3 linked regions of the Mytilus edulis genome follow. The protein of the gene in region 1 purifies or fractionates together with the protein of each later gene. This does not show direct contact. Links are inferred from orthologs where the notes say so. Each region holds a gene or a part of one and is shown in the gene's direction. Other genes may lie near its edges.

Region 1 (7,735 bases):
TTTTCAGAAAATAAGAAAAAATCAAGCCTAGCTTGTTTGAAAGGTGATTTTTTTCTCCAAGTGTATCTACACAAGTCAGGAAAAAGTTCCCTATAGGGGTCAACTAGAGATCTATCGTCAATCAATTCTAATAGTTTGTCTCTAGCATTAGGATTATTTATGTGTAAATAATTATAACAATCTAAATTTGGATTTAACACAAGATTAAAATCTCCACAGATAATAAAACACTCATTTTCAAAATCATCAATAATTGACATAATATGCTCATAAAAAAATGGACTGTCAGTATTTGGGCCATATATAGTTATGAGAGTAAAACGAACTTTATCTACAACCAAATCCAAAGCTAAGTAGTTTCCATCAATGTCCCTTTTTTCTTTAAGGACTTTCCACTCAAAATTATTTTTAAACATAATAGCTACACCTCTTGAATTTGAAGAAAAGGATGAAAAGTAGCATTCATATCCCCATAACGTTCTTATACTATTTTCTTTATCCACTGTGAAATGAGTGTCTTGAAGACAATAAATGTTATGGTTTCCAGATTTTAGAAAACTAAATACATCCCTCCTTTTAGATAAATCACCCAGACCCTGACAGTTAACAGACAGTATCTTTAAAGAGCCCATAATGGTTTGAAATATGTGTACATCATCATTTCATATAGGCATGCATTTTTACATATGATCATCCATATTATACATTCACATGAGACACAAAGACATATACGCAAAGATTTGCTCAAAACATCTAGATATGGTGGTATAAAAATTCTCAACATACATGTATTACCAAGCCTCGTACATAGACCAACAGTGAAATTCAATACTTTACAGACATTCAATTCATAGAAAAAAATAAAATTAACAGACAAAAAAAGTGTTAAAAAAAATAAATATTTCAATATGTTTTGCCACATTGTAGTTGGGATTTGTCAGTTTATGCAGTTTGCCTTATATGACACCAACAAAATAATAGTTCAACAAAAATTAAGATTATCTGTACAAAAAAAAAAAAAAAATTAACATCAATATGTATTGTAGAAAGAAAATCAATACTATACATGATCTATAGTTAAAAGAGAGATAACTCCGATTTTTTTATACAAAGAAAGGGAGATAAGCACAAATATTAAGTCAAATATTAACAATGAACTATAGAATTCTCAAAACTGTCCGTGAGGTCTAAGTTCTTATTACGTAACATCTATTTCCCTTGCTGTACTCTGTAATGAATGTCATCATATAGTCCAAATTTCAGCTGAAGTCCTGCAGGTGTTCTACCATAAATTCCACAATTAAAGTACCAGACAGATTCAAACTCGTCAGTTTTTCTAAGTCTCTCAATTAAACTCATGTTTCTTTGAGTAACGTCATCCACAAATCTAATTTTACTGGTCAATTCTTTCCTACATCTCATAATTTGGCGCTTAACATCACTACTGAATAGCTTGACAATAACTGGATAGGGCCCAGCCTTTTGGGATGGTATACGATGGATTGCAACCACATCTCTGTCTTCTAATTGGACATTTAGTTCTTTTTTCACAGTTTCCATAAAGTCCTTTCTAAGATCTTGTTTATCCTTTCTTGGAAAATTTATTATTTTAATGTTATTTTTTCTCGAGTACTGCTCGTTATAATTGCTGCTTATATCAGCCTGTCTTGAAAGTCGACTTGTTTCGTTTAAGTCTCTTCTAATTGTTGTATTGGAATACTGTATAGCTTGTATCTTATTTTTCAGGTCTTCATTTTCTATAGTTAAAGCATCAAATTTTTCCTGCATTTCATTTTTAACTTCTTCCACTTTTTCATCAATCTTCTTTTGTACAGTTATTTCAAATTCATTCATCAGCTTTTTGACAATTAAAGTAACCACTTGCTCAAGATCACTAGTTTTAATCAGATCTTTTGTTACTCTATCAAGGTCCTCTCTCCTTGTCACACCTTCAAGTTTGATTTTAATTTCATCAATATCCTTTTGAAAGTTCATTATGCCAGATAAGTCTAAACTATTGTTTGATTCGTTAGATACGTCTGAATGAGTTCGTTTACTAGGTGGTGGTTTATTCTTATCTACTTTTGCTGCAAGCAATGTCTGAACAGTATTCACAGGTTTAGTAGTAGGTCTTTTGTTTGTTGATTTTAAACCAGCTAAATTTTGCCCTGAAGACATACTGTACATATATTGTCACCTCTAGTAGTAGAAATCAATAATCAAATATCAAAATAGATCCTTCTGGAAAAAATCTTTCACAAGTCACAAAATTATTCCTGTTGAAAATATTCCACAAAAATTATATCATTCTAATCTCCATTGAATTAGCTATCACATAGTACTAAATTCACAGACAGTGTCTTCCTAAATTTGTCATAAAGCTGCAAAAACTGGGAGCTAACTTTCTAAGGTGTTAACTGCTCGGCAGCCATATTGATCTCTGTGTGTTTTCCTATTGTTGACGAGGTAGTATGTCGGAATTTCTGTGGGTACTTGGTGGTACAGTATTTTATGAAATAGTATCAAGCGATTTGCTGTTCTTCTCGTTTCAAGAGTCTGCCAATTCAAAGATCGTATAATTGCGGTCATAGAGCCGGGTTGGTAGTTGTAGTTCTTAGTTACAAATCTTGCCGCCCTGTGTTGTACCATTTCTATCCGTTTGATGTCCTTCTTCCAATGTGGGTCCCATACTGAGCTACTGTATTCTAGATGTGGTCTTACCAAAGCAATGTAAGCATGTTGTTTAATTTCTTGAGGGCATCTATATAAATTTCTTCTGACAAAGTTCAGTTGTTGTGAAGCTTTGTTAATTTTAGAGGTAATGTGATGGTTCCAATTGAGCTTGCTGTCCAGCTCCACCCCTAGATATGGGTTATGTTCTTTTAGTTCCAGCTTAGTGGAATGTAAGAAGTATGGTCTTAGAATTCTATTACGGATGTTATGTGTTGTCTGTAGAACGTAGCATTTCTTTGGATTAAATGACATTTTCCAATCAATAGACCACTTTTCTAATTCAGTTAGGTCTTTCTGTAATATTTCTGTATCATTATTGGTTTTGATGTCTCTATATAATAAGCAATCATCTGCAAATAGTCTTATGCTGGTACCAGTTGTTAAATTATCCCCAATGTCATTGATGTATAGGAGAAATAGAAGCGGACCTAATACGGTGCCTTGTGGAACTCCGGATCGTACGGTTGCAGGTTGTGATTTACAGCCATCCAGGAGTACTGTCTGTTTTCTATTTTGAAGCCAGTTATCTATCCAATTTACTGTGTACTTGTCAATACCCTTGTTCCTTAGTTGGTGTACAAGATGGCGATGTGGCACGGTATCGAAGGCCTTACTGAAGTCCAGTATCAGTATATCTGCTTGGCTTTTATTATCTCTTATTCTAGCTAGATCTTCTGTGGTGTTTATAAGCTGTTGTTCGCACGAGTGGTTTTTCCTGAATCCATACTGGTATGGTGACAGGAGTTTGTTGTTATCCAGGTAGTTCATAATGCTACTAAAGATGATGTGCTCCATAATTTTACACGGGACAGATGTAAGAGAGACAGGACGGTAGTTTGCTGGATCTGTTTTATCGCCCTTTTTAAAAATCGGGATAACATTACCGATGAGCCAGTCTGTTGGTACTGTTAATACTCATGCCACATCTTCTTAAATCTATAATACAATGAATAGTGAAATCTTCTTCACTAACACAATTTTGTAAACGGCTCACCACTTGTCTTAGACTATTAATATTGTTGTAAGTGTAGAATTGTAAAGTCACATTTATACACTTAGCGGCCACTTAGCCAATACATAACAGTCTTACAGCTGGGCCCGGCCTTAAGCATACATCAAACAGGTTTAAAAGTTTATTCAAACAATATCAGCAATGTCTGCGTGTACCCGCATGCTGGTACGTATTGTCAAATTGCCATTCATAGGCTACACGTACCCACATCTGTTTTATAATAGAATGAAACGTGAAATATATATGCAAATTGTCGATCCGATGGCATTCTATTATAAAACCGAATGTGGGTACACATAGCCTAAGAATAGCAATTTGACTTTTTGCATACGCACATGGGTACATGCAGACACTGCCAACAATATTTTATTCTTACTCTCCATTTCTTGAGCACCCTGAAGGAGTTCCTTTACATTTACTCTTTCGCCTGTGTTAGAAGAGGTGTCATTGTCAGCCTCAGTTTTACTGTTTTCTTCCTGACTAGAACCTCCAGTATCCTTAGAATAGTCTCTGGTGTAACTTATTTGGGGATCACTGAAATATAGAACTGGACATATCTTTTTCAATCTTGAACTTGGTTTGATCAGCCTTCGTAACGCCTGTGAATGGGCGTAGATACGTAGTGGAAAGCTTTGCATTCTATGTTAAAAATTATAATGACACAAAAATCATATCAGTTCTTTAAACCATATAGTTCTTGGACTTTTAAACTTGAAGTGAACTTGACCAGCTGCACAATCCAAAAATCAAAACAAATGGGTAACATCCATGTCGGGTCCGGAACTAAATTCCGGAAAATATAAGGTAAAGTGTAGATAATTTTGTGATGTAATTTTAAAATTCAGAAGAGTTTTTAATGTATTATTTTCTTTTATTAAAAGACAACTAAAATAGTTTCATTTAACAATTTCTTTTGTTATCTGTAATCATCAAATAAGTAAGCAGGGTGTTTTTAATATACGCATTAAAATCAACACTTTCTTGTACCACTATGAATAAATTGACAGAAATTTTCTTACACAATCTGTGAATTTACTTTCATTTTCTCATTTACTCTAAACAATTTACACCATAATCTATATTGACTGTAAAGAAAGAGGAACACTGAAATAATTTAAAGGTATAACAAGGTCCATTTAAAAAATGGAAATTGGTTGAATCAGGGATAAATTCTTTTAATATTTTCTTCATTTATCAACATTGTCATATGCTAGAACTTAAACAAAATATTTTATTCCATTGCATGTTGATTTTGATAGCGAAATCAACATTTGATTGGTTGAAACTCTCACACGTGACATCGAACAAAACATCATATTCCCCTGTGAGTATCTAATTCGGAAATTTATTATTATTATCCCCTCCGAGTATCATATATTCCCCTCTGAACGTCCAGATTGCCTTGTGCGACGTTACCCACGGTTAATGTTTTAATAAAATATTTTGATAGGGTTTATTTTAAAAATTATTTCAATCTAAAAGCAAATAGAAAAGAATAAACAATTAATTAACTTTAAATAGGTACTGATTATCATTTTGTATGTTGTGTTTATAGTTCTAAAACAAAACGAATAAGAAAACAATTATGTAAATTTATGTATAAGTAAAAAAAAAAGTATAGGCAGTGGAATAAAACATTCATTTCCCTTGGTATGATATTTCTTGGGTGAACAAATCTTCATATTTCCCTCAGGCACGGGAAATAAATGTATAATGTTGGGTCTAGTCCAAATAATTATGACGTCCTGAGGCCACAATTAAAATTATTTTGGTTTGCCCAAACCCTACCCAAAGGTTGAGACAGTGGGTAGGTAGGTAGGCATTTTCTTTTTTTTTTCAAATAGAGAAATTGAAGTATCTGGTTTTTATTAGTCTTCATGCCTATCTGATTAAAAAAAAAAACTTCTTCAAATCAGGACAATAAAAGAATTTGAGTAGGCAGCTTTTTTCTGGGTAGGTAGCGTTTGGGCAAACAAACCTATTCTTTTTTATGGCCTGAGAGGCTATTATATTTTATTGCTAAGTCGTCTTACAGCATGTACAGCAACATCAAATAAAAAAAATAATAATAGGTTAGCCCTTTCAAGACATTATTATAAGGCACTGGCTACGTGGTTACTTGGAAATGTAACAATAATGAAAAATATTATTGTAACATTGGAGACTAATTGCCAAAATACAGGTTTGGGTAAGGATCCGATTAATTACGGCAATTAGTCTCTAATGTAACAATAATATTTTTATTATTGTCACCATGGTTACATTTCCAGGTAACCGTAGCCAGTGCCTTATAATAATTTGTACTAGTAGTAGTACCAATCATATCATACAATAATAAATCATGTAAATATCAAAGTATCAAAAGTCACAGACTATAGGGATACAGTACGTGCTATACTGACGCCACAAATATCATGAAATTATCATGAACATGATGAATATGAACTACATGATTGTTCAATAATGTCGAAAGTTCAAGTGTCGCAAATTCTCAGGTCAGGTGTCACAGATTCCTAAATAGTCAGGTGTCACAGATTCCTAAATAGCAAAAAGGTCTTTTACAAATGATAAAGTCATCATGGGCTTCTCTGTAATTTTTGCACTTTCCCTTTCATGTTTTATGTCACAATGTTTTATATGTCATGTGTACATGTATATGTTAGTCTACGTATAATCTGATAATGTCACAATAAGAACTGATTGTTCAATGACATCATTTACATCAATTGATCTCATAATAATTCCTCATTTGGAAGACTAATTTTATTTGTGTAACATTGCAGAAAGCACAAAATCAGGTACATGTACATGTATACCAGTATCATCACTCAGACACAGCAGATTTCACTGTAGCCTTTAATGCTCAATTCTGCTGCTCCACATAAACAACTGTTATAATAGTCATGAAGTAAAGGTTATGACCTAGTGATGCTTACATTTGCAGATAATGTTGTTCTTTTCATTGTTTTCATCATCTGGAAATGCTATAGATCACAAGTTTAATTGTTATTTTAGCATGCAAAAGCTTTAGAATTATTGACCACCATTCAGTGGAGGATCCAGAACTTTTTATAAGGGGGGCCCACTCCAGTCAAGCTTCGGCTTTTACCTATATATAATTAAACAAATTTTTCCCACAAAGGGAGGGGGCCTTGGACCCGTAAGGCCCTCTGGATCTGCCTGTAATATCTGTGATTATACTCATAAACCTTTGGGACATTGATGTATTACGTAATGTCACTACATTGATGCCAGTTGTATTTTGTTAGTCATTATTAAAAAAACATCTGAATAATCAAGTCTTGCTTAGATCTTTCAATGGCGGTGAGAATGGGTGAAATTTTACCCCATGCATATACCTTAAGAATTGCTATAGGTGAAAAACAATCCCACAGTTCAGTTACATGTTCATGATGTACATGATATAGTTGTACATGTTGTAAAGTGTTATACAGATTAAAAGTTACTAATTTTAAACTATGTTTTTGATATTTTGACATGTTTGATACTGAAATGACTAGAAAAATTTTATTCATAGTCTTAGAATTAGTTTGTTCAATTCATTTGATATGAGATAACTAGTGCATGTAGTGAGGAATAAGTATTTCATAAGTTTGTTAATTTTGGATATTTTTTTTTTGCAGATAATGGCTGAAGGTGGGAAAAGCAATGATGACTATGATACCTTTACCTGTTTAATTTGTGGTCAGAATGGTTTCACAGAACCTCAGATGAGAGAACATGTTATGATGGAGCATGTTGAACAAGAAGTATATTGTCCATTTTGTGATTTGGGAGGGATCACGGCCAATGAAATGAATCTACATATCAATAAAGCTCATTTAGACGAATGTTTTAGTCCTGATGGTGCTAGTGGGACAGATTTTGAATTTCAGGAGGGGACTAGTGATAGCGGTTGTTGTAGTCCGATAGAAAAAGATGTAAAAAAACCAACGAATGGTATTTTAGGTTCAATGGATTGCTCAACAA
Region 2 (8,039 bases), on another chromosome or scaffold:
CTTCAGTGATTCCTTATCATGAGTATATAATCAACCAAATTTTTCCCAAAAAGGGGGGTGCAGGCCCTCTGCCCCCCCTCTAAATCCGCCTCTGGACAGGAAAAAAGAGACAAAAACTCAGATAAAAAAAAAGAGTTATTCAGGCTCCTGGATCTCTCCTATCATTTTCATATATTTTTATTTTCATGTTTCCATATTTGTTCCTAATCATATATAACTAATAACAATCAGTATGTTAGATTGCATGTGTTGTTATGTGGATTTTGTATGAACTCTGTGATTTGTGTTGTATATGCTCTTTATGGGCCCTTTAATTAGGAATAACTTACTAGTAAGATATTTGAATTTGAATTTGAATTTCACTAGCTAGTCCAACTACTTATGTCGTCTTGAAAGGCTTTTTTTAATTTTTATATTATTATAAATATTAAAACAGAATACAACAGAGTATGAAACATGACAACATTCTTAGTACATAGGTTAAAGAAAACAATAGAAAAGGTTTATCCGAAAATTCAAAGAAAAATCTCAAAGCCATATGAAGCTGTATAAAATTCAAGTATAAGAGTAGGTAATAGTGATTTACGAATGCAACCTATTTAAGATATAGATCTCTGATTTCGTTATACTACACACGAGTATAAAGAAATCAGAAATCTATATTTTAAATAAGATCAATTTGACAACAAAGAGTATCAGTAAATTGTGAAACATCAGATTGGAAGGATCATAATAATAAACTATAGAGTGACAATCAATGCTAAGTTGCATATTATGATCTAGAACAGAAAACTGAACTGATACATGGCTCTTTAATTTCCATCAATTAAGAAAAATGTAAGCACTTTATTAAAGTGGAAGATACCGAAATTCACTGATAGACCAGAGCCCCCCCCCCCCCCCCACTTTTTGGGAAAAAAAATTGGTTGCTTATATAGTAAATCATTGAAGCGTGACTGGATCGGGTCCCTCTTAGGTCAGTCAGTGGGCCCCCACTTATGAAAATTTCTGGATCCGCCACTGTAGACGAATGTACAAAATAACTTTACACAAGATTAATTAAGCCATCAGCAGAAACATTGAAGAGAACGACATAGGCATATGGTCATCTAGGAAGTTGTCATGATGTGAAGACAGATCTAACAATTTTTGTCTCGCCTGCGACGAAGTCAAAGTATGCAAGAGATAGGTATTGCTATCCGGCGGCGGTGGCAAACTAGTTGAGTAAAGCTTTATATTGCAAAAGGTATTATTATAGAAGACCTGGATGATTCGTACCTTGTATGCAGATGCCTTATGTTACGAAGTTTCCGTCTGTCATATATGTCTTGTATTGTCCTTGACCTCATTTGTATGGTTCATTGGTCAATGTTAGGTGTTTTGTCGGTTTTGCAAATACTCTTCGCGATAGGTCAGCTATAATTGTATGGGTCATTGTAAAGTGTATGCATGTCTGACAGGTATCATCTGACCATGACCTCATTTTCGTGCATGGTTGAATGGTATTTGATTATAGTTGGTGTATTTAATGATTATACATACATATCTGTCTGTCTCTGGCATGATTCATCTGACCCCATTTAATATCATAGAACATTGTCAATGTTAAGTTTATGTGATACTAGTCTATAAAACCATCATGTAACAGACTTTCAACATAAATTCATTGATAAGAAAGACAGGCGAGACATTTTAGCATGTGCACTCTTAAACTTAAAAGCAGTTTTATGATTTGATTTTCTGTTTGTATGCTTTTTTTTTTTAATCTTTTTTAGACAAGGTGTTGTAAGCTTATTTTCGACTTATGGATTTGAATGTCCCTTTGGTATCTTTTGCTTCTCCTCTTAAGAAGCTTGAAAACTTTTTCTAACATCTAGACAGGGAATAGTTAAATTGTAAATTATGAAACATCAGACTGGAAGGAGGTTACTTCGGGAATACCTCCAGACGCAGTATTAGCCCCCCCCCCCCCCCCCCCCCCCCCCCGCCCTGTGATTTGTTTTTTTGCAATAATGACCTTCCAGATTGTATTAAATTAGATGATTACTTATTTGCTGCACAGGCGTTTGTGGAGTGGACCCCCATTTTTTATTTTTAGTATTTATATACAATATCAGTAATAAACTAGATTTGCCATTGCAAGCAATAGCGGATGGCACCCTTCCCACATTGCCTCTAAACTGCAGCCTTTTTGAAAGTTTAAACAGTCAATGCACACTAAGACATAAGAATGTATTTCTCTGTAAATTTTCATCAAATTTGGACCATTTTTCAATTTTTTACAGTTTTGCAGTTTCCATGGCAACGACGGCCATTTTGGAAATTCTGAGGTCCAAAGTCCTATCTCCAATTGTCAGTTACCATCTATTATAAGTTTCATTAAGTTTGGACCATTTTGAATTTTTTTGATATTTTTGCTGTTTCCATGGTAACGGTGTCCATTTCGAAAATTCCAACAACAGTTGCAACATTGACTTATGCAATGTTACAGTTGCAACATTGACTTATGCAATGTTACATATTCATGATGTTTCTTTGAGTTTTGTCTGATATTCCTTAAGAAAATGCTGTTTTTATGTTTTTTCCCATAAGGTCAATGTTAAACTTTTCTCCAGTTTCCATGGCAATGGCAGCCATTTTGCAGAAGCTAAGTACTGTTGGTACCTCAGGGCACCACTGCCAACATAACCATAAAGTTTCATCCAGCTAGGTCTTATAATGAAAGATTTAGAATTTGCATTTTTTTTTTACATTTTATCAGTTTCCATGGCAACGGCAGCCATCTTGATGATGCCATACCCCGATTGCACAATTTCATATAGTGGTCCTCATTATGGTATAGTTCTATCAATATTGTTCAAGCCAATTCTGAGAAATAGCATGGACAAAAAAGTGTGGAAGAATAAATATAAGAAAAAAAGAAACGAACAATAACAATATGTCACCCCAACTCCGTTGAGGGTGCCATAAAAAGAAGAAGATAAGGATAATGGGATTTTTTTGGGTTAAATCGCATTGAAATGACGTTGAACACCTTAAATATGTAAAACAAGTCATTATAAGTTAAAACAGTTACATGAAAAACAAATTCTTAAATACAATTTAAAAACCAAAGATAAAAAATAAAAAAGGGGTCCATTCCACAAACGTCTGTGATTTGCTGGTGATATTAATATCATCAGGACCAAAGGAGACAAGAGTGACCACCGATGATGTATCGAAAATAAAGGTCTTGACCAGAAAACTAAAGTGATACATGGTCCCGTAATTCTACCCTGAAAATGAAGCACTTTGATAAAGTATAAACTCGAGAGACACAGGTACAGTATAACTCTGCACCAGGTCAAGACATAAACAGATGCACAGAAGAGAATGAAATATGCATAGTATTAGATAAAAATCTAACATTTCACTTAATATATATACGTGAAAGAGGTAAATAAATCTAACTCCGTCCGAATTCGCTCTACTAAGACATGTTCTAAATCTTTTTTAGAATATTTATGCCAAAATCTTCATCTTAGTATAAAATTATAAATGAGAACACATTTATACTATGATAGTTGAATATGGGCACCTTTTAGAAAACAGGCGGAAAGATAACAATGAGGAAGAACAGAAAAGAGCTATAAATACCAAATTTCAGTAACCTAATATAAGTTACCATAAAAGATTAAAGCATCAAATGTTAGTATCATCATACTATGCAGCATTGTTATTGTTACTAAAAGTACCTTCTAGTCAAATTATAGTGACAAAAACAGAAAACAGACATATCTTAAGAATAAAGAGTAAAACAAATATTCTCCAAAGTTCATGGCTGTGAGTCTATAGCAAAATATGAAATAATCTATCTGATAAAGTGACGAAAGTTTTTATTTGTTAAATTGTTACTAAATTTGTTATTTTGATTGAAAATTTCTATGTTGATTGAAAATTGCTTTTTTACCTCACCTGGCCCAAAGGGCCAAGTGAGCTTTTTCCATCACTTTGCGTCCGTCGTCCGTCGTCATTAACTTTTACAAAAGTCTTCTCCTCTGAAACTACTGGGCCAAATTAAACCAAACTTGGCCACAATCATCATTGGGGTATCTAGTTTTAAAAATGTGTCCAGTGACCCGGCCAACCAACCAAGATGGCCGCCATGGCTAAAAATAGAACATGGAGTAAAATGCAGTTTTTGGCTTATAACTCAAAAACCAAAGCATTTAGAGCAAATCTGACATGGGGTAAAATTATTTATCAGGTCAAGATCTATCTGCCCTGAAATTTTCAGATGAATCAAACAACCCGTTCACGGTTGGGTTGCTGCCCCTGAATTGATAATTTTAAGGAAATTTGGCTGTTTTTGGTTATTATCTTGAATATTATTATAGATAGAGATAAACTGTAAACAGCAATAATGTTCAGCAAAGTAAGATTTACAAATAAGTCAACATGACCGAAATGGTCAATTGACCTCCTAAGGAGTTATTGTCCTTTATAGTCAATTTTTAACAATTTTCATAAAATTTGTAAATTTTTATTAACATTTTCCACTGAAACTACTGGGCCAAGTTCATTATAGATAGAGATAAGTGTAAGCAGCAAGACTTTTTAGTAAAGTAAGATGTACAAACACATTACCATCACCAAAACACAATTTTGTCATGAATCCATCTGCTTCCTTTGTTTAATATTCACAGAGACCAAGGTGAGCGACACAGGCTCTTTAGAGCCTCTAGTTCTATACATCATCTTACTGGTAATATTCTGTTGTATGCTTAGTTTGTTATGTAAACAACAGTAAATATCAATATACATTTCATGTTCCTGGTATCCTGATATGTTATGGTCCGAGTTTCTATGGGCGTATTATAAAGCTTCGGGCGAGCTTGGTATGGACCGAAATGATACCAATTATTTCAAACACATGTGTTACTAAGATATTTTTGTTCTGGTTGCCTTACTTTTTAAAGTTTATTTCTTGCTTTGCTCAACCTAAAGGTTTTAGAATAAAGGATACCAGTGTAAAATTGCGCGGGTGATTGCAAAGAAAATAGTCATCATAGAAGAAGAAAGATTCATCATTCAACAATGGAATTCTCAAAACCACGTGTAAATGCCTCAAAATTACCTTCTCACAGAGGCAGAAACGTTTGTCTTTTAGGAAAAGTAAAAAATGTAAGGATACAAACGCAAATTTATTATTCAGACTTCGCGAAAAGTGGTGGTCCTCAGGATAATTTTCACCACCAAAATTTGGCGTAGACTGACACAATTTTAGTATTTTTTAATAAAGCTTATAGTGAGGACCTGCAGATTTTCTTCAAGGACCACCAGGGGAAAAAAGATTTCGCGAATTCTGGCAATTATTGGCCTCCAGTCACTCCCACATGTATTTCCCCCTTTTATACTCATATTGATTTATAGACCCCACTTATAAAAAAAAATTTAAAAAAATGTTCCATTACTAGTTGATTTCGAATGTAGGAAAAAAAGTCACAGGAAAAAAAGTCACGGAAAAAAAGTCACAGGAAAAAAGGTCACAGGAAAAAAAGTCACAATATATATTTTTTGCATGAAATAGTCATAGGGTCTGCACATACATACATGTATTAACAGGAGAAACATTCCTAATTTGTATTTTTTTATCGAAATGGTCACAGTGATATTGTTGTCTTTTTTCAAAACTACCTCTACCGTTTTTTATTGGGAAAAATGCATATTTTTTATTGAAATTGGGAAATTTGTATATTTTATTCTGAACACATCTCCGATTTTTTCCTGACCTTTGCTGTCTTTTTGCACTGTTTTTTCATGTATATTTTGGTTGTCAGACATTTTCAACCTGAAAGATACTTTCGGAGAGGGGAAAGAAACAGAAGCAACGATGGTACTTACAATGCATTGAAAACTACATGTGTTACAAACACCATGATGATTCTGATCAGAAAACCTGATCTCAAAAGTGCTTTCTAATATCAAAATGATAACATGAATACGATATTTACAAACATTACTACCAATGCCATCACTGTTTGGGGAAAATGTAAAACTTTTTGGGAGGAATTTTAAGCCATTTTTTTCAGTAATTGGGAATTTTCTCTAGGGGAAAAGGCCGAATTCCGGCTGTTATTTGAGCCAAACAATATCACTGGGTCATAAGGCCGCACATATATATGAATATATTGGGAAACATTCCCAATAGATATTTGTTTGGAAATAGACATTTTTTAATTCATTTTATACAACTAGTTTTGGAAATTTAGATATAAATCGCAAAACATTTAAATGGAACATGTACATGCTTGTATACTGATTGATACATGTTTTTAAGGATTTGTTGTAATTATTTTTGTTTTATATCTCTTAGAGATGTGAGTTACTAGTGTTTCCTACAGGTGGTTTTGGCGTGTAATGGCGCCCTGCCGCGATTTCTCAACGCCCTGCCCTTTTTGGGAAAAAAAATTAGCGCCCTGCCCTAATTTTGTCGAAATTCCTGACGCCATGCCTTATCGTCGTAATTAACAACCGGTACTGAAAGACATATTTTATGAATACCGCTCGAGTTATTTCCCTTCAAAACAAAAGTTCACTAGGTCGCCATTTTGTAATCGATTTCGTAATCAGCTGATTAGCAAACTGCAATAGATTGAATAGTGAATACAGACACTAATCACGGGTCCTGATTGTATCCCCCAAGTCCCAGAAACATCGTTTTGCATAGAAGATTAATTAAAAAACATCGATGTGATGCTTAGATAATTTTTTTTTAAAGCTGATAGATTTCTAATTTACATAATTTACATTGTTTGCATGGTTGAACAAGCCAATGAACGGCGATCATGAGACATTTGTCAAATTGAAAAGTAAAAATTCTTTGCAAACTATTTTTTAAATACAAATGCTTGACTGTACCTTAAATGAAATGAATAAAAATCCAAACTAAATTATAAAAAGCAGAATAATCCAGAAAATAAATGAATTCCTTGATCAAATGTTTTCTTTTGTTTACAAACATGTCACATGATCATTTTAGGCGGGAAAAATACTTAGGAAAACACCTAAGTAACAGACAACTATATCTGGCTATTTATAGACATTTGAAATAAACAGCTGATATGGTAGTGCCATGAAAGTAGTAAAACTTGTTGTATCTATATTAATTTAATTTGGAAAAGGGTGTAGAGGGAAAGGGGTTAATTTGTAAAGTTATTTTTTTTTGTAATTTAATAAATTTTGGTTACTAAAAATGACCCTGGATATCAGGGAATGTGTCAACCTGTTTTTAGGGGAAAAAAGGAGGATTTGTCAATGACAATTGATATGACCAAAGCAATATTTTTATATACATGTATATGACATAGTGCTTTCTTGTTTTTAAAGAACTGATTTTGTTTTTAATTGTGTTTATTGTTTTAAATATTTCATATATATATGTTTTAAACACTTTTTCTTGTTTAACAATTTGTTTTAATGATTGATTACAGATGTATATGTCCTTTTTATAGTATTAAACTAGTATGTTTTAAATGAATCCATTTTATAGAAATTGCCTGTTTATGTTAAGTGCCCTAAAATTGTTGTCCATCGCGCTTAATGTGCCCTCTGAGCTAACAATTACCCTGCCCTTTTTAAAAGCTGCAGGAAACACTAGTTACTTTAACAGCATCAATTTCCTTTAATTTGAATACAAGTTAGAAGTTTAGTATATAACTTGACCACATGTTTTTTTTGATTTTTATAAAGATAAGTATTCTGTAATGAAGTGTTAAACAAACAACTCATTGCCATTAATAATAGCTTAGTATCTTTATACATATATACGTAGGGACTGTTGATATTGATGTGTGGCTTCTTGTGGCACCTTGTGGCACCGCCCCCCCTCTTTTGTAGACCTTTCATTTCCTGTCTTCGTAGGAAGCCATAACAATGAAATTATACAACTCGTCTAAACATCAACCCAACAATGTTAGATCTGTAAATTTGCTTTCGCAAATTTTTGGTTCTTCCCTCGCCGGGATTCGAACCCATGCTACTGTGATATCGTGACACCA
Region 3 (7,658 bases), on another chromosome or scaffold:
GTCACATTCTCCCCCTTCTTGGCAACCATAGCAACAATTGCAACACTCAGATTAGCTCTTAGGGAATATATGTTGCCTAGAATGAAACATAAATGTAAAATTATTGTTCTGCATTTTCTTTCCTTATAGTTTTGATTACTTTTATCACCGGTATATATGTATTACATGATCTATGAAAATAAGATGTTCAGATATAAATTAACATACTGATAAAAGAGTATTTTTTGCCTGGGAGCAATCCATGCCATTACACATGAATCAGTCTATGGATGTTTTATGTTATTTGTGAAACATAAGCATATTTTTTCAAGACACATTGTTTTTATAGACATGAATGAATATTAAGAAATATCTGTTGCTGAAAGCTAAAACAAGTACATGTAGCTATAGTAATTAATAAATAATAAATAAAGCAGAAACCATTTGCTTAAACTTTTCAAAATTACATACATGTTTGTACCATCACTATGTATAATATTAAAACAATGTACAGTCACTACCTAAAATTAAAAGGGGCATAACTCTAAAAAGGTTAAAGTTCAAATTTCGAACTTATTCTGTCTGTAATAGTAATAATCATTGTGTATAATTTATATAACATTTGGTTAAGGCAAACAAAAGTTAGAGAACAGAAACCAACGTTGGAACCTACGGACAGAAGCTTAAACGGACAAGGGTAAATCTTAATGCCCCTCCACTATAGCAGGGGCATAAAAACATATCTAACTACAACATTTAACTCACAAAAGCCCAGGAATGCCATTATTGCCACAATATATCTCTTTGGAAACCTTGACAAAGCCCATTGCCTTGGACAGACATCATGACTTTCTTCTGCAGGAGGTAGAATTGATCTTTTCTCTGATGAACTGTCACTTCTAAGGTTTCCATCATGACTTTCCATACTTCTGTAAAACGACAATACATGTTATTGCTTAATATCTTGATTGGGTATCAGGGATGATTCCACTATATTGTTTAGGGCGGCTTAGCGGCCCCAAAAAAATGTACATGAAAATGAATTCCCAATTCAGGAAAGTAAAATAAAAATCGATATTTCAGGAAAAGTTTCTGTCACCAATTAAGGCAACTATAATTTTTTATATATAGTTTGTTGTCAAAACATTTTAAAATCCGGATAAGAATGCTGTTTACGATCGCATCTTAGTAACAACGATTTAATTACATGTATGTCAACATGTGGGAAACAATTTTAGCAGCCGAATACAATTGATTAATATGTTATGGGACTTTTGGATCTTGTAAAAGCAGATCGCCCAGCAGGTTGATAAAAATTGGTGTCAAAGCAGACCTCGGCAGAGAGCAAATTCAAATTTTGATATAACATTGATGGATAAGGTTAAATGGACGCCGATCTTGTAAAAGCAGTTCACCCAGCAGAGCCGGTTATATAATATGATGAAAACTTGTTTTGTAACAGAAATTATTTCCTCAAAAGACCACAGTTTGAGCGTTTTTTGAAAATAATGTTGATGATAGAATATTCATGAAATATGATGTCATCATTATTGAACTATTTCAAAAGTTTTGAAGATGATCCAAATAATTTTAAAGAACACTGGTTCAATGCTTTAAATATCTTATCAATTAAGTATATGAACTTTTGTAATTGCTTTTCTGAATTCGACAATTGACCAGTTCAATTTGAAATCCATTTGAATTAAGGTAAATTTATAGAGATGACCTGTTGTTGAAAAAATACCTGATGAATGATTTTTTTCAGTGGTTTATGTTAGCTGAAATATATGTTTTTGTAATAGGCCTAGGTAACTATAGCTAAGATGATAGACTAGTGCATCATGTTCAATGATATTTATGTAATAACAGTCATGTGACAGTAGCCCAACCAGAATTATTAAAAATGTTACAACTTACATGAACATCAGTGTACAGGTTAAACTTAATAATATACATTTTCTGTTTTTCAGGAAAATAATGTTATTTCGTCTTAGATTTTATGCTTAAAAAATTCCCAATTAGAATAAAAATTCCCAATTTGATGTTCAAGGGACCCATTTGAAAACACCTGGAATCATCCCTGGGTATGAGACCTAATGTGTTATTACATATATATAGTTATATTTCTATATTTAAATATAAACTTTTTGCTACCTCTTTGTACCTAAGTATCTGCAATGTGGGTCTCATTGGGGTCTAAGCGTGACGCGGGATTGCCAATTTTTTGTAAGCGTGACACATGAAAGTCAAATTATTGTGTCGTGAAAACGGTAAATGAGGTCTAGCAGGACTCGGGAAATGACAAAAAAATGAGAATTGCTTACGTACATAGTGTAAGCTGGATACAGGAATCGGACAAAACGGTAAGCGGGATCCGGGATCGGAACCCCCAAAGAGACCCCCTGCAATGATTATGAGAATAAAGATATTGGTATTGGCTAGTTTCCCATTGTCATTAAAAATGAATTTACCTCCTAAAGTTAATCTCTAACTACAGGATCAATTATAGTTATTGGCAAATAGACTAGCAAACCATCAGACTATATTAACCAGTGTGTGCCTGTCTCAAGTCAGGAGCCTGAAACTCAATGGTTGAATTTGTTGCTGTGTAGCACATTTGTTTTTCATTCATTATTCCCTACATGTACATACATGACATAAATTAGACATGAGTGAATTATTTTATCATGTTTATTCTGACTGTGTGGTATGGGCTTTGCTAATTTTTGAAGGTTGTAGAGAGTCATTTAGTTGTTAATTTCTGTGTCAATTGGACTCATGTTTAGAGTAGAATCATTGGTAATCATACCATATCTTCTTACTTTTTTATATCAATGTTAATTCCAGCCTTCAGACACTTTTTCATTACTTAGAATACAAATTTAAATTTTTTTGTTTTGAGAAAAACACCCATGATTGGACAGGATAACAATGGACTCAAGCTAATAAAGCTGCCAATATATACGACACTTTAATAAAGAATTATCATCAAAAACATTTGAGGTTTGGGTTAATTTTATATAACTAATTTTGTTATTCAACCTCTCCTTTAAAAATCCTGAATCTTCCCCAAGCTTCAACACAAACTTAATTTTCTATTTATCATTTACCCATACAAAGGGTATGATGCCTGAAGTATAGTCATTCACAAAAATTGTAATCATTAGTCATCTAAGACTGTATATTCTGTATATAAGACTTTATAGTCTGTAAGCATGATCATGATGATTATTTGCAACTGCTGAACATATCAGAAATTACATTTTAAAGACTGATTGATTAATTGTTTGTTGCTTTACATACAGTGGCAAATATTTTATGCATATTCAGGATGATTTTAATGTATACCCTATCATGCCCATGCCAGTCAGAAATGTCAAATAAAGAAATGCAGCTTTTAAAATACAACCTCCAATAGAAACTACATGAAGATTATGTACCCAGTATATAATCTCCTCCAGATTGTTACGCTTATTCTGGAATATGTGCAGCTCAATACAATTAGACAGATATCCTATTGAAATTGTATTTCTACTATATCATGAACATGTATCTTCTGAAAATCAGATCTCAACTCTCTGCAATGCAGAATTTATTCTTCTGATCTGCATTCGATGGAAATTCAAATTCAAATTCTTCAGTCAAACAAAAACGTATGTTAGACTTATCTAGCCAGATTTACCATTTGACAGCTTGACATGTCTATAAATTATGTTAAGGTTCATCATAACAAATGGACAAATATGGCCGAATTTTCACCTCAAAAACTTCTCTGTGTACAGACTTACCTGTGCTGTTTGGAAAGATTTAATGCCTAGCATCCACTAGATATATAAAACTTAAATGCATTTTGTGTTTAGGAAAGATAAAATCTTTCTTGGTTTTTGATGGGCATTTTTTTTCCTTTCTGCAGAAGGTGTAAAAATAAACAAACACCTGAATTACTTTGATACTGTCCACTGACTGACTCAGATAAACTCTTTAACTCACCTATAGTTGTGAAGATACCTCTAGTCCATGTCAATTAAGGACAATCAAACAATACAAACCGGTTTTTTTACCTGAGGGAGCATCTCATAGTTGTACTACAACTTAGTTAATTTTCACACCTTTTGCATGAAGGAAAAAAAATGCCCATCAAAATCCAAAAGAGATTTTATCTTTCTGAAACACAAAATGCATTTAACTTTATTATATCTAGTGGATGCCAGGCATTAAAACTTTTCCAACTTCACAGGTAAGTCTGTACTCAGAGTAATTTTTGGCATGTAAATACAGCCATATTTGTTTGTTTGTTATGATGAACCTTAATGACGAACAACAACAGCATATGTCCACTATTTATCAACTTTCTTGCAAGATTTTTTTCATTTGAAGAAAAGAAGTGGAATTTGAAAATGTTAATCAGGTCCCTGTGTTATGATTTGTTTGTAAATAACAAAAAACATATGTAACATGAGTTATGAAATAATATGCAGTAAACTGAAACTGAAAGCACCTGTTACTTACAATGTTATCGGAATAACCTCTAACTTTCAGCCCTAGTATTAAGTACAAATCCGAAAGTTTGAATGCCGAAAAACTATAAAAATACTACCCAATCGGAACCAATGACAGTAAATATGTTTTAACCAATCGTATTTCAGGTAACAATTGACTTATGGAAATTTCTTCAAAGATGGCGAAGATCAATTAACTTTTAAAATCGGAATAAATTTCATAAAATTTCCAGTAAAAAGATAATAATTTATATTTTTAATACGTGATGACATCCATTCATTGTATAGTCCATCCTTTACCTGGAACAGATGACCAGTTGAACGATAGGTAATTGATTTATTCGTACTTGGGCTGTGGTACTTCGAGATAAAAGAAACGATCAAATATTTAATAAACGTGCTCTTTATCGCGTTACGGTATTCTGACGTCACTGTAAATTACGCATCGAAATCAATTGCAACTGTTAGATTAATGCCTTATGTGCCCTGAAATTATTTAACACAAGCCAAATGTTTTGTTTCATTAAATGTATTAATCGTTTATGATTGGGCTGATGTGACAAATGTGACCTACATGTATATGCTCTTTTTGTAGACATGAAGAATTTTAATATATTTCTCAAATAAATGGTTAAAAATTTATACAAAAAGCAACAACAAAAATGAAATCAATATTTGAACCTGACATAAGCTGTTTCTCATCACCATGACTTCTGGAATTCTTTCATCATTGTTCTTTGTCTTTTTTAGTTTTTAAATTTTATGTCAGAGCTCCAATTTTTTTATTTATTTTTTTTCTTGCAAATTATCCCAATTATTTCATACTTCATACTGCTGAATTGATTTCAAACTAAATATGGTTTAATTTGTGTAAATAAATTTGGCAATTTACCAATTATGCTTATTCAATCAATTTCAAGTAACAGGCCTCGACAATAATGCATGCCAATTGTCCGGTACCAGAGGTAAAAAAGGTCGGACAAGTAAAAGCTATACCAAGCTTGTCCGATGGGACAAGTAGAATCATTCTGCAGAAAATAAATCAACTTTGATGAACAAAGTATAATTATTAACAAAAAAAACAAGAAAAGAAGATTTGTTTGACATCTTTCCTTTTTAAACTGAAACTAATTGAAACTTTCTATTTCTCAAGACTCAGACTTGCAATCGATAATTTAAAACTGGTTCTTTGTCAAGTACTTTTAACAGGTAAAAAGCACACTTTTCTCGGAAACCAGTCTTACCATCCCATTCAACCATGCGCTTTTTAGATACAGAGATAAGGTAACTTTAAAAAACAGTTCGTCACCAGCTCTGAAATGATTCGGCTCCAAGTTTAATAGACAGTTGGGTACGGTAGGAGACATATTTCATAGACATGATTAATAGACAGTTTGGCGAGGCAGTAGACATTTCTGGACCAAGACAAATCAGAACCTCTTTTCCTACCTTATTTTGTTGCTTTATAATAATATATACCAATGTCCATACCGTATTTTTTAAATAAGAATGAGGAAATTTATTATTTACCATAAAAATCATCAAATCATGTTTGATCTTTATGTAGAAAAAACAATACTTGCAATGCAGTGACCTATAGTTGTTAATTTCTGTGTCATTTGGTCTTTTGTCTCATTGACAATCATACCTCAAATTCTTTTTATTGATTGCATTTGAATAAACTTTTTTCAACTTTTAAAAAAATAGGATAAAAATCCAATGAGTGTACATTTAGAGGCCAATCAGATGGTGCCTCATGTGCAAAGTATGATGAGACTTTAGCATTGATAAAAGCTAGAACCTAAGTCGTGTGACACACCTAAATTCAGTTGTTCATGGCTCATATCTTTTAAAAGTATTTCAAAGGATAAAAATCAAATTCTGTTCAATTTTTTTTTAATTCATTTTGTTCCTTGAATCAACTTGAAATGCAAAAAAGGTTATTTAATATTAAGATTTTTTTTTGGACAAGTTACAATTTCATTCGGACAAGTAAAAGTTTTGGTATGTACTTGTCCTACTGGACAAGTTGAAAAAAAAGTTATTGTAGAGGCCTGAGTAACATAAAATTCAAAGTGTTGAAGGTTGTCACTACAAAGTAGAAGGAAAAGTAATCATGGTCATGTTTGTGGGAATTGTTTATTTATGCTTTGCTTAGTCCCCATATGTTTCCACCAGTAGTATTTACTACATGTACAGCCCTCAATTTAGTCTACTGAAATGGTTGCCTGGGCGGCTTTAAAAGCTGATTGGTGATAAAAAAAATTCATAACTGGTCACCATTTAGGCTTAGTATTAGAATATTGAAAATCTGGCGACCTTAAATTTTTCGGAAATTTTGCCCTGATCAGAGCTGGTTTTTTAAAAAATAGTCTGAGCGCTAGACAGTAACACAAATGAATACTATATTTCAAGAGCCTTTTAGATTTAAGCTTGATCTTGTCAGCGCTTAATTGCATCAGGTAATTGTAGTTCATTTGGTAGCAATTTGTTGTCGACTGAATATGGCACAGATCTATCTATCTTCATATTTCCGCACTCAGTCACAAGTTTGACTATTGCATACCATTTGAAAGAAAACCCTTGGAATTTATAGATTGTGTTAATTGAAAGCACATGGTAGAGCCTCGTTCTTAATTTCGTCAGTAAACTAATGTAAACAATGTCGGCGACAATTTTGTAATTTGTCCTTATAGAGTCAATAAAATACTGGCTACAACTACAAAACGATTTCAGATGTTCACTTGACTGATGGGGCAATCACAAGTGCTTCTGCACAAGTCTGATGAGATTTTTACTAGTCTGGGGCTTCAAACTACTGGTTAACATCGCAGACTGATTTAAAACATGTACAACAAATATAAAATTAAATAAATCATGTGGTTATTTTACGGTGGATTTATACAAACAATTTTCTACACTAGACAGCAAAAAAACGTAATACTTTTAATTTACAAGCCTGTTTTTGTGTAAATAGAAAAAATTGTAGGCAACTTGAAATTATTTCCTGGCCACTGAAGTTTTGACTATGTTTGAGTTGGCCACTAAATTTTCATGTCTGGTGGCCAGTTGGCAACTTCATTTTAGAGGCTACTTTGAGGGCTGATATATACACACAATGTCAAGATATAAAAATTTTAGACAAACTCAGAAGCACAACGCTAAATAAATACAGCAGCA

Evidence for each region.
Region 2: the proteins of zinc finger-containing ubiquitin peptidase 1-like (region 1) and replication protein A 14 kDa subunit-like purify together in Homo sapiens (affinity purification with western blotting; 3 studies listed by BioGRID, with this or other methods). This does not show direct contact. The link is inferred for Mytilus edulis from reciprocal best matches to the Homo sapiens genes ZUP1 and RPA3.
Region 3: the proteins of zinc finger-containing ubiquitin peptidase 1-like (region 1) and E3 ubiquitin-protein ligase UBR5-like purify together in Homo sapiens (affinity purification with mass spectrometry, with the first as the bait; 3 studies listed by BioGRID). This does not show direct contact. The link is inferred for Mytilus edulis from reciprocal best matches to the Homo sapiens genes ZUP1 and UBR5.

What each region holds. Positions count from the first base shown.
Region 1 is NC_092353.1:22,636,582-22,644,316, forward strand, and holds the start of zinc finger-containing ubiquitin peptidase 1-like, read left to right. Parts: upstream 1-4,717; 5' UTR 4,718-4,865; intron 4,866-7,389; 5' UTR 7,390-7,392; coding exon 7,393-7,735. Other genes in the region: uncharacterized protein, read right to left, coding at 4,122-4,383. UniProt on the Homo sapiens protein: Deubiquitinase with endodeubiquitinase activity that specifically interacts with and cleaves 'Lys-63'-linked long polyubiquitin chains. Shows only weak activity against 'Lys-11' and 'Lys-48'-linked chains.
Region 2 is NC_092351.1:62,143,809-62,151,847, forward strand, and holds the start of replication protein A 14 kDa subunit-like, read left to right. Parts: upstream 1-4,999; 5' UTR 5,000-5,076; coding exon 5,077-5,163; intron 5,164-8,039. UniProt on the Homo sapiens protein: As part of the heterotrimeric replication protein A complex (RPA/RP-A), binds and stabilizes single-stranded DNA intermediates that form during DNA replication or upon DNA stress.
Region 3 is NC_092355.1:19,654,581-19,662,238, reverse strand, and holds the start of E3 ubiquitin-protein ligase UBR5-like, read left to right. Parts: upstream 1-4,623; 5' UTR 4,624-4,744; coding exon 4,745-4,806; intron 4,807-7,658. Other genes in the region: sialin-like, read right to left, coding at 1-76, 745-904. UniProt on the Homo sapiens protein: E3 ubiquitin-protein ligase involved in different protein quality control pathways in the cytoplasm and nucleus. Mainly acts as a ubiquitin chain elongator that extends pre-ubiquitinated substrates.